Oryctolagus cuniculus: one gene and its partners. The main gene of each other region encodes a partner of the protein of the gene in region 3 in a complex. Links are inferred from orthologs where the notes say so. Each region holds a gene or a part of one and is shown on either strand. Other genes may lie near its edges.

Region 1 (3,741 bases), on a different chromosome or scaffold from region 3:
GAGGCGGGGCCCGCAGGGCAGTTCCTACGGCAACGCCAGCCTTGTCCATCACGGACGGAGGCGGGGCCCGCAGGGCAGTTCCTACGGCAACGCCAGCCTGTCCATCACGGACAGAGGCGGGGCCCGCAGGGCAGTTCCTACGGCAACGCCAGCCTGTCCATCACGGCTCGGAGGCGGGGCCCGCAGGGCAGTTCCTACGGCAACAGCAGCCTTGTCAATCACAGCAAGGAGGCGGGGCCCCGCAGCAGAGCCTCAGGGCGTCCGTGGATTCCAGTCTGCGCCGTCTAAATTTAGAACATTCTCGTCACCCCCGAAGGCAGTGCCCAGCCCCTCCCTCAGGCCGCGGCGACCACGCCCCCTTCCTGTCCCCGCGGAGTCCCCTGCCCGGCCGTGGGGCCCCACGCGCGTTCGTGCTCCCCGGCGTGACGTCTGCGGGGCCCGCAAGTACTCGGCCCCGCACTCCGGGCCGCAGACGTCTGTCCCGTTTTGCGGGGAGCCTCGCGCAGGTTCTCCCGCAGCCGCACCCCGGGACTGCCGGGCTGACCGTCCGTGAGCGCCAGCCGCTCCCAAACCCACGCACCCGCCCCGTGGACACCGGACTCGCCCCTTGGTTTGTGCGAGGACCTGTGCGTGAGCAGGCAGATGGGGCGGGGGGCGGCCAAGGTGCCCAGGGTGCCCGAGGACTGACGGCCGTGCAGATGGGGCTGACTCCGGCCCGGGTCTCCTGCCCAGCCCCCGCCTGACCCCGGCCCAGGTCGCCTGTCCAGCCCCCGCCTGACCCAGGCCCGGTCTCGGCCACGCAGCGCTCCAGCCTCTCGGCCACGGCGGGTTTGGCCCCCTCCCCAGCTCTGCGGGTGCTAAGAACCAGAGCCCCCTCGCCCTAGCGACCCCCTGCGTCCCCACGGCAACCGGGGCGGGGCCGAACCCGGATCCGCGCGCGCCTGCTGGCCCTTTAAGAGGCTCCGCCCCGCGCGGCCTCGGACGCCAGGGATTGGCCCCGAGCGCGGCCTCGCGCAGCCGAACTTGACGCGCCGCCCGCCGCCTCCCCGGCCCGCCTCCCCGGCGACTCGGCAGCCGCTGCGGCCAATCGCCGAGCGGCGCGCCGACCCTCATCTACATGATCACGCCCCCGGGGCGGGCCCCGGCCAATCGGGCCGCTCGCCGGGGCCTCATTAGCATGCCGGGGGCGGTTGGTTGGCGCGTCGCGGCGGCCGCCAGGGCCGGGAAAGTTTCTGTGGAGGTGAAAGCCGCGCGGAAGTCGGGGTCCCGCGCAGGGCGGGGGCGCGGGGGGCGCGGGGCGCGGCCGGGGCCGCCTCGGGCCGGGGGCGGGGCCGGGCGGGCCCCCGGGGGCGGCGATCGCCCAACAAAGGAGCCCCCGGCGCCCGCCCTCGAGCGCGTCCCCGCCCCCAGCGCACCCCCCGGGGTCCCGGGCGCCCCTCGCCGACGCCGCGCGTCTGCGTTGCAGGTCCGGCCCGGAGCCGCCATGTCCCACGGCCCCAAGCAGCCCGGCGCGGCCGCCGCGTGAGTGCGCCGCCCCCGCCCCAGCGCCCTGCCCCCTTGGAGGGTTTCTCCCGGGTCGCCACCTCCCCAGCCCGGCCTGCGCCCTGCCCCGGCCCCCTCCCCAGCCCCTCCTGCCCCCGCCCCGCCTCCACCCCTTCCCCAGCCCCGCTCCTTCCTAGGCCCCCTCGGGCTCCCGTCCTGACCCGGCCCGCGCCCCCCGGCTGGGCTCCGTCCTCCCAAGGCCGCCTCTGCGTCCCCTCCCCGATCTGCCCATGTCCCGACCCCGGCGGGCGGCGGTCTGGGCTCCAGGGGCCGGCGTGACCCTGGTGACCCCGTGCCCCGTGGCTGCAGGCCGGCGGGCGGCAGGGCTCCGGGCCCACACGGGGGCTTCGTGGTCGCGGTCAAGCAGGAGCGCGCCGAGGGCCCGCGGGCCGGCGAGAAGGGGTCCCAGGAGGAGGAGGTGAGCACAGGGCCCGCCCGCCCCGTGTGCAAGTCTTGTGGCTCCGCCCACTGCCCGGTATCCGGGGAACACTGTCCCACTATCCCCCCTCGCCCCGCCCACATCCCGGTGACCCCGCCCTTTGGGCGGAGCTTTCCTTTGGGCCGCCTATAAGCGCTTCTTTCTGTCAGAGGCCACGCCCACAATCAGAAGCCACACCCCCAGGGGACCCGCGGTCCGCCTGCCCAGGTCCAGGCCCCCTTGGACCTGGTCCTCCTCCAGCCTGGCCCTCTCGGGGCCCCGGCCCCTGCCCACGCGCCCCGTTCCGCAGCCGGTCAGGAAGCGCGGCTGGCCCAAGGGCAAGAAGCGGAAGAAGGTCCTGCCGAACGGGCCCAAGGCGCCGGTCACCGGCTACGTGCGCTTCCTGAACGAGCGGCGGGAGCAGATCCGCACGCGCCACCCAGACCTGCCGTTCCCCGAGATCACGAAGATGCTGGGCGCCGAGTGGAGCAAGCTGCAGCCGGCGGAGAAGCAGGTGCGGCGGCCGAGGGGCCCCGGCGCGCCCTGGCTGGCCTCGCTCGGTCGGTGCCCGCCGGGGTCGGACAGGGCCGAAGGGGGCACCGGCCTCGGTCAGCGCCCACCGGGGTCGGACAGGGCCGAAGGGGGCACCGGCCTCGGTCGGCGCCCACCGGGGTCGGACAGGGCCGAAGGGGGCACCGGCCTCGGTCAGCGCCCGGCCGGGTCGGACAGGGCCGAAGGGGGCACCGGCCTCGGTCAGCGCCCGCCCGGTCGGACAGGGCCGAAGGGGGCACCGGTCTCGGTCAGCGCCCGCCCGGGTTGGACAGGGCCGAAGGGGGCACCGGCCTCGGTCAGCGCCCGCCCGGTCGGACAGGGCCGGGTCTCTGCTGAACCCAGATTTGCGCGTTAGTTTAAATGTGGAAAACCCAGGCGGGTCCGACGGAGGCCAGCGCTGGTCTGCGCCTGTTGCGAGTGGGGTGCGGGCCGGGGCCACCGAGGGTGCAGCGGGGGCGGGGCGGGGCGGGGCTCGGGCCCACCTGCCCGCCCACCCGCAGCGGTACCTGGACGAGGCGGAGCGCGAGAAGCAGCAGTACATGCGGGAGCTGCGGGCCTACCAGCAGTCCGAGGCCTACCAGATGTGCGCCGAGAAAATCCAGGAGAAGAAAGCCAAGAGAGGTGGGCGGGGCGTGGGGGCGGAGCCACAGCCCGGCCATGGCCAAGGCCACTGCGTGATGGGCGCTGACCCTGCCCCTCCCTCCCGCCAGAGGACTCGGGCTCCGGGCTGCTGAACACCGTGTTGAACGGGTACAAGGTGAGCGCGGCCCTGTGCCCGCCCGGGCAGCAGGCAGGGAGGGTGCGGGGTGCCGCGGGGAGCCGGCCGGGAGGGGTGCGGGGAGCCACGGGGAGCAGGCAGGGAGGGGGCGGGGAGCCACGGGGAGCCATGGGGGGCAGGCCGGGAGGGCGCGGGGAGCCACGGGGACCCGGCCGGGAGGGCCCGGGGAGCTGGCCGGGAGGGGGCGGGGAGCCACGGGGAGCCATGGGGAGCCGGCCGGGAGGGCGTGGGGAGCAGGCCAGGTGGGTGTGGGGAGCCACGGGAAGGGGGCAGGGAGCCGGCCGGGTGGGTGTGGGGAGCCGCGGGCGGGCGCAGGCCTAGGTGCCCCGGGAGCTCCCCCCAGCATAGCCACCTCGCCCCCCGACCCAGGCCGGGGACTGCGACGGCCTGGCCGCCTTCGACGTCCCTATCTTCACTGAGGAGTTTCTGGACCAAAACAAAGGTTGGCGCC
Region 2 (3,741 bases), on a different chromosome or scaffold from region 3:
GTGCTGCTAAGCTCTCCGGGAACTTTTCGGAGAACTCGGGGAGCACCCGGGGTGGGTTTCTGCCCTGGGCGGGGCGGAAGTGAGCACAGGGACCAGTTCGCATGCCAGAGCCTCACCTCAAACCAGTCTGACCATCCTGGCCTTCTCGGGCATGTTTCCAGCTGCGGGCAGGGTGGGCTGAGCTGGGCCGGCTGTCTCCCCAGGGGACGTGGCTGGAGGCTGCAAGCTGCTGAGGAATCGCTATGAGAGCCGAGACAGGGAATGGGCCACCTACACTTGCGTGCTGGGCTTCCACGTGTACGGTGAGCAGGGGTGGGGGGCCCGAGCGGGACGAGGTGGAGCCCGCTGTGGGCTCGGCACGCCGGGCGGGTGTTCGGAGAACCTGCGGAGGACCCAGCCCACGGGCCCCCTACCCCTTCGCCCTCGGGACCAGGAAGGACTGCCTGGAAGGCGGCCGGTTGTTGGTGGCAGCGAGTGCCAGAGATGGGGCTACGCTGGGCCGCGGGTGGTGGCGGGCAGGGGGCCGGGCTGAGGCCGTCGCTGTGCTAGGCGTGTGGCCGGACGGCTCCGACGGGACCGACATCAACTCGCTGTGCCGCTCCCACGACGAGCGCGTGGTGGCTGTGGCCGATGACTTCTGCAAAGTGCACCTCTTCCAGTACCCGTGCGCGCGCGCCAAGGTGAGGCTGCCCGGGGCGCCGGGGGCGCGGGCCAGGGCGGGCCCGGACGGCGCTGCCGCTCACCCTCCCCTCCCCGCCAGGCGCCGAGCCGCGTGTACGGGGGCCACGGCAGCCACGTGACCAGCGTCCGGTTCACGCACGACGACTCGTACCTCGTCTCACTAGGCGGCAAGGACGCCAGCATCTTCCAGTGGCGCGTGCTGGGCGCTGGGGGCGCGGGGCCGGCGGCCGCCACGCCCTCCCGGACCCCGTCCCTGTCCCCCGCCTCCTCTCTGGACGTCTGATCGCTGCCGGACCGGACCGACTGGCCGGCCCCTTTTCCTCGACTTCGAGACATTCCCAAGTGCGCATCTCCCCGGGGGGCGATCGCCCCTGCACACACTGTAGGGACCCGCTGGCCGAGCCGGGCCGCCCCAGCCTGGGTCCTGACTCCTGCTGCCTGCTGAGGGGCAATAAACCAAAACCAGAGTCGCCTCCCTGTGCTTTTGTGGGGCGCAGCTGGGTGCCCTAGGGACCCCGAGGGGTGGGATGGAGGCGAAGAGGAGTGTGGAAAGCGCCCGTAGGCCGTTCATGCAAATGGTAGGCAAAGCTGTTTGCAGACCGCCCGGCGAAGCGCGAGGGCGCGCGCGCCTTGCGGGACGTCAGGCGGAGCCGCAGACTCCTGCGAGGGAAGGGTTAAGCCCGCCTCCTCCCCCGCCCTCGGGGAGGGGGCGGTCCCGAGCTGCAACGGAAATAACCGAGGGACGGGCCGCGGTTGGCCGAAGCCACTCGAGCTCATTCCGGAAGTAGCCGATCTGTGGGGTCTTGCTCTCCGACCTGAGCCGAGCGCCGGGCCTTGTTCTCCGATCAGCCGAAGGTGTTCCGGAAGAAGGCGAATCCCGAGGCGGGCAGGGCTAGCCTCCCCTGGGCCCGCGGAGCTCAACGTCTGGTGGGACCGGTCGAGGTCGGGGGTGGGGGTGGGGGGGCGGCTAGCCGGAGCCTGGCTCCGGTCCGGCAGGAGCCGAGTTCGTTCCGGAAGAAGCCGAGCGGACCGGCGCCGGCCTCGGCGTCCCGGGCTTGAGGCGGCAGCAGCGGCGGCGACAGCGCGGGCCGGGATGAACCGCGACGGCTGAGGCAGCGGAGGCGCCGGCTGCGCGGACCCCAGGAAGACTCTCCCAGAGCGCCGGCCCGGCTCTCGGGGCTTCGCCTCGAGCCGAGCCCTGCCCCCGCGAGCTTCCCGGACCCCTTTGTGCGGCCGGAGGCGGCGGCGGGAACGGCCATGGCGGCCAACATGTACCGGGTGGGGGGTGAGTACCGGGCGCAGGGGCGCGGGGCCCGGGGCAGGGGGGGCCGGGCACTCGGCGGCGCAGGGAGCCGCGTCTGGGGCGGCGTGGACCGGAGCTCGGACCGGAACCGGAACCGGGAGCCCGGGGAGCGAGGGTGCGGGGACCGCGACGCGGCCGGGCTCCGGGGGTCGGGAGAGGCTGCGGGCAGCCCCGACGGCACTCGGAGTGCGGCACCGCGGGCCCCTGGGGCGGGGAGTGGGCTTGAGAAACTGGTTCCGAAGGAGCTGACAGGATAGGGACGGGGCCCCGGGGGCGGGGGGCCCGCGGCGACGGCTGTGCTACCTGCGGGGAGCAGCCTGAGGTTTCTTCTCCCTGGGCGTTATTGTGCGCCTCGCTCCGCCAAGGCGGGGGCCGGGTGCTGGAGCGAACAATTGTTCACTTCGCCGGGGCTGGAGTGCAACTCCATCGCTGAGTTGGGGGAAACTGCTGCCTGTCTTTTCCTGAAGGCTCACTTTTGAGCGAAGGGTGTGATTTAGAATCCGATGCGGCAAGGTGGAGGCATCTTAGTCTGCCCCTGTCCACACTCGAGCCTCCCCTGCCTGGACCCTTACCCACTTTTGGTCGACGCGGGCGGTTTTCTCTCCTCCTACCCTGACTGGCTGTCCCATCTTCCCGTTCTTCCCCACCCCCTCCTACAGATTACGTCTATTTTGAGAACTCCTCCAGCAATCCTTACCTGGTTAGACGGATTGAGGAGCTCAACAAGGTGAGTGGAATAGACCCCCCTCCCCATCCCCCAAGTGGGCTCCTTTGAGGTCTCTAAGTTCGGGTGGAAGAGAGGCCACTAACCTGAGTGCTCATTCATATTCATTCATTCATTGGGTGCATACAGGACAGGCTATTGAGAGCTTAGTGGGAGTCTTCCTCATCTGTCTCTCGGGTGCAAAGGAAAGGGGTTTGGAAGTCTGTCCTTGAATTAAATCCTTATAATTTCTTGAGCTCTTTTACTTAGGTCCCTTAGAAATTTATTCCATGTTGTTAGGCTCTGTGCATTTCCACTTTCAGATAACCAATTTTCACTGCTACGTTTTTTTCCCCTCTCTTAGACTGCAAATGGAAATGTGGAGGCAAAGGTTGTCTGTCTTTTCCGGCGAAGGGACATTTCTAGTAGCCTCAACAGCCTGGCCGATAGTAATGCCAGTGAGTGTCTTCATCCCCTCCTCCTGCCATCTGGGCATGTCCCTGCAGGTGTTTCCCCTGGTAGCATGCCCAAAGCAGGGGTGTGAGTTTTGGGGGTGGGAAGTGCCTGGTTTGTGGAGGGAGGCCTGTTTTTACACGTTGGGGTTGGAAGCAGGGTGGAGAGACCATGATAAGGAAAGCCAGACTATGGTGTATGTGTGTGTGTGTGTGTGAGAGAGAGACAGAAATGATAGTGTTTACATAGGAGGTAAGGAAGAGAAGCAGGACACTTTGGGGGGGTAGAGTTTTGAGTACACTGAGACAATGAGGGGTGTCTGAGGGTCAAGGTGAGAAGGAAGAGATTGTACTGAGAAGCCTGTGCAGCAGGGAAGCAGGCTTACTTTATAATCACGAGGTGGTGCGAACGCGGTGAAGGGAGAGAATGGAAGTTAGGATATGGCAGGAAAGTGTTCTTGCACTTTTTCTTGTTTCTCACCTCTTCCATGTCCCCTCTACTCCATTTTACTTCTTTCCTTTTTCCTTTTGCCTTATCTTCCTTCCTTTTAAGCTCTCATTTTCTTTTGGAAAATGTATTGCCTTCATTTTTTCCTTGGCTT
Region 3 (3,641 bases):
AGAAAGACAGATTGCTGTAAAAATTCCTGGGTTCTCCTGGGAGTATGTGTCTAACGGTCATCAGAACTCTCCCTGTTCTTCAGGTGATGTTGGGAATTACTACTATGGACAAGGCCATCCAATGAAGCCTCACCGGATCCGCATGACTCACAACTTGCTGCTCAACTATGGTCTCTACCGGAAAATGGAAATCTATGTGAGTTACTTACTGCGAGTGTTCCCCTCTGTTACCTCATCAGCTCTGGTCCCCCAAATGCCATTTACTATCTGATTTTCTAAACCATGCACTCATTAAGCAAATGTGGGCATTGGCCTATCAGTTAAGATGCTTGTGTTCCACTTCGGAGCACTTGTATTCAATTCCCAGCTGCAGGAGACCCCCATATAAATAAATCATACTGCAGTGTGTAAGAGCAACAGTTTAGAAAATGTGCAAGATGCAGAGATAATGAGGAAGGAAGGAGGAAAGGGGGCTTGAATTGATTCTAGGAAGTGATATATGAGAAATTTTAAAGATTGAATAGAATTTAGCCTGGAGGGGCTGGTGTTGTGTAGTGGGTAAAGCCACTCCCTGCCAAGCTGGCATCCCATATGGGTGCTGGTTCATGTCTTGGCTGCTCTACTTGTTTGTTTATTTATTTTTAAGATTTACTTATTTATTTGAAAGGTAGAGTTACAGAGACAGAGAGAGACAGAGACAGAGAGAGACAGAGAGAGGTCTTCTGTCTTTTGGATCACTCCCAAAATGGCTGCAATGGCTGGAGCTGGGCCAATCTGAAGCCAGAAGCCTGGAGCTTCTTCTGGGTCTCCCATGTGGTTTCAAGGGCCCAAGCACTTGGGTCTATCTTCTACTGCTTTCCAGGCCATAGCAGACAGATGGATTGAAAATGGAGCAGCCGGGACTTGAACCAGCATCCCATATGGATGCTGGCACTGCAGGCGGCAGCTTTACCTGCTATGCCACGGTGCCGGCCCCTGCTCCACTTCTGACCCAGCTCCCTGCTAATGTCCTGAGAAAAGCAGCTAAACATGGCCCAAGTGCTTGAGTCCCTGCCATCAAGTAGGAGACCCAGATGAAGCTCCTGGCTCCTGGCTTCAGCCTGGCCCAGCCCTGGCCATTGCAGCCATCTGGGGGGTGAACCAGCAGATGGAAGAGCTCTGACTTTGAAATAAATAAATAAATCTTACAAAAAATTATCCTTGAGTTCAGGAGGGGACTGGTAGGGGGAAGAATATATGCAGTATATGCATATGCATATTATATATGCAAAAAGGCTGAGGTATTTGAGGAAAAATCCGTTTTTTTTTTTTTTTTTTTTGTTTTGTTTTTTTTGACAGGCAGAGTGGACAGTGAGAGAGAGAGACAGAGAGAAAGGTCTTCCTTTGCCGTTGGTTCACCCTCCAATGGCCGCCGCGGCCAGCGCGATGTGGCCGGCGCACCGTGCTGATCCGATGGCAGGAGCCAGGAGCCAGGTGCTTTTCCTGGTCTCCCATGGGGTGCAGGGCCCAAGCACCTGGGCCATCCTCCACTGCACTCCCGGGCCACAGCAGAGGGCTGGCCTGGAAGAGGGGCAACCGGGACAGAATCCGGCGCCCCAACCGGGACTAGAACCCGGTGTGCCGGCGCCGCTAGGCGGAGGATTAGCCTAGTGAGCCGCGGCGCCGGCCGAAAAATCCGTTTTTATGTGTAGGGATACAATGTGAATTCACAGACGTGAGGCAGGGCGTAGAGCTGGAGAGGTCAGCCAGCGTTGGATGTGCTGTGCTAAACCACTCTTGTAGGCCAGGGTCGGAAATCCAGTGGCTAAAAAAGGAGTGACTGGGGATCGTGTTGGACAAGTTGCCAAGTCTGTGGTTACGAGAGAGTGTAGGCTTCTGTCTAACCACCAGTCTCAGCTCCACTTGATTCTACCTGGTCTTCCAGATTTTAAGAAGCTGGAAATCCAAATTAGTATGCAAAACCTCCTCGGTTTAAAATGTTGGCACAGGGTTTTTGTTTTAAATGTTTGTATATAAAACACATCAATACACGTGCGGACCAAATGTGGTTCGGTGGTTCCCAATTTAATCTGTTCTGGAGGTGGTGGGGGAAAAGTGAAAGGTTTTAAATAAAAGATATAAGAATAGATAGGCATGTATTTTACAAGCAGGTAGGCCACTTAGGAGCCTGTTGCTAGAGTCCAAGTGAGAAAATAAAGAGGGGCTGGGGGCCCATGTTGCTTTATGGCGTGGTGCCTGCTGTTAAAGGCTGTACTGACAGTTTGAGTAACCTAGCAACAGCAGCATCCTTCTCACCATTCCAGAGACTGAAAGGAGATGAGTCTTCTGTCCCAGATGGCTTTGTCGTGTCTCTGGAGCTGGTGGAGCCAACTGGGGAAGGTAGACAGGGCGAGCAGACCTTGGGACCACAGTGCTTTATCAGGTGTGAAGAACAGGTGGGGAAGAAAGCATACAAGGCAGCAGAGGTTTTCAGGAACTCTGGGGAGCCGCCTAGCTCTTTCTATCAAGGAGAAAAACTCCCCAGGAGCTTCCCAATACACTCCCCCTTACCTCCCATCATCTCATTCCTGAGACCACTCACCAGTGTAGACGGATAGAATTACCAGAGCTGGCCTAGGCTAATCATGATTCTATTCCTAGGGCTGGGTACATTTTGTTACCAAGGAAGAAGGAACAGGATGGCTCTTTGGGAAGCAACCAGTAGTAACTTCCTTATGGGAGGTGAATTTCCCTGTGGTGTTCTTATAAACTTTTTTTTTTTTTTAAGATTTATTCATTTATTTGAAAGACAGAAAGGCAGAGTTATGGACAGAGAGAGGGAGAGACAGAGAGAGAGAGAGATCTTCTATCCATTGGTTTACCTCCGAATGGCTGCAACAGCGTAGCTAAGCCAGTCTGAAGCCAGGAGCCAAGAGCTTCTTCCTGGTCTCCCACATGGGTGCAGGGGCCCAAACACTTGGGCTACCCATCCTGCTTTCCCAAGCGCATTAGCTGGGAGCTGGATCAGAAGTGGATTGAGGCCGGCGCTGCGGCTCACTAGGCTAATCCTCCACCTGCGGCACCAGTACCCTGGGTTCTGTCCTCGGTTGCTCCTCTTCCAGTCCAGCTCTCTGCTGTGGCCCAGGAGTGCAGGGGAGGATGGCCCAAGTGCTTGGGCCCTGCACCCACATGGGAGACCAGGAAGAAGCACCTGGCTCCTGGCTTTGGATCGGCGCAGCACGCCGGCCATAACGGCCATTTGGGGAGTAACCAACAGAAGGAAGACCTTTCTCTTTGTCTCTCTCTCACTGTCTAACTGCCTGTCAAAAAAAAAAAAAAAAAAAAAGTGGATTGAACTGGCGCCCATATGGGATGACGGCTCCACAGACAGCAGCTTTACCCACTGTGCCATGGTGCCAGCCCCTATCATAAACTTTTAAAGGAAAAACCTAGTATCATCTCTCTTCCCTAATGCTAGACCTGTTGTCTTTCTCCCCCCCCCCTTTTTTTTTTATGATTTACTTATTTATTTGAAAGTCAGAGTTACAAAGAGGCAGAGACAGAGAAAGAGGTCTTCCATCCGCTGGTTCACTCCCCAGATGGCTGCAACAATGGCCAGAGCTGGGCCTATCTGAAGCCAGGAGCCAGGAGCTTCTTCTTCA

What was found.
Region 1: HDAC1 (region 3) and HMG20B share a complex: the UniProt entries of both Homo sapiens proteins name them as parts of the BHC histone deacetylase complex. The link is inferred for Oryctolagus cuniculus from reciprocal best matches to the Homo sapiens genes HDAC1 and HMG20B.
Region 2: HDAC1 (region 3) and MTA2 share a complex: the UniProt entries of both Homo sapiens proteins name them as parts of the nucleosome remodeling and deacetylase (NuRD) repressor complex. The link is inferred for Oryctolagus cuniculus from reciprocal best matches to the Homo sapiens genes HDAC1 and MTA2.

The regions. Positions count from the first base shown.
Region 1 is NC_091447.1:59,467,591-59,471,331, reverse strand, and holds the start of HMG20B (SWI/SNF-related matrix-associated actin-dependent regulator of chromatin subfamily E member 1-related), read left to right. Parts: upstream 1-1,144; 5' UTR 1,145-1,177; coding exon 1,178-1,240; intron 1,241-1,465; coding exon 1,466-1,521; intron 1,522-1,851; coding exon 1,852-1,960; intron 1,961-2,270; coding exon 2,271-2,474; intron 2,475-3,012; coding exon 3,013-3,133; intron 3,134-3,222; coding exon 3,223-3,269; intron 3,270-3,659; coding exon 3,660-3,732; intron 3,733-3,741. UniProt on the Homo sapiens protein: Required for correct progression through G2 phase of the cell cycle and entry into mitosis. Required for RCOR1/CoREST mediated repression of neuronal specific gene promoters.
Region 2 is NC_091432.1:8,952,876-8,956,616, forward strand, and holds the start of MTA2 (metastasis-associated protein MTA2), read left to right. Parts: upstream 1-1,524; 5' UTR 1,525-1,938; coding exon 1,939-1,966; intron 1,967-2,643; coding exon 2,644-2,711; intron 2,712-3,051; coding exon 3,052-3,145; intron 3,146-3,741. Other genes in the region: EML3 (echinoderm microtubule-associated protein-like 3), read left to right, coding at 204-302, 660-680, 761-1,191. UniProt on the Homo sapiens protein: May function as a transcriptional coregulator. Acts as a component of the histone deacetylase NuRD complex which participates in the remodeling of chromatin.
Region 3 is NC_091438.1:140,171,604-140,175,244, reverse strand, and holds part of HDAC1 (histone deacetylase 1), read left to right. Parts: intron 1-83; coding exon 84-196; intron 197-3,641. UniProt on the Homo sapiens protein: Histone deacetylase that catalyzes the deacetylation of lysine residues on the N-terminal part of the core histones (H2A, H2B, H3 and H4).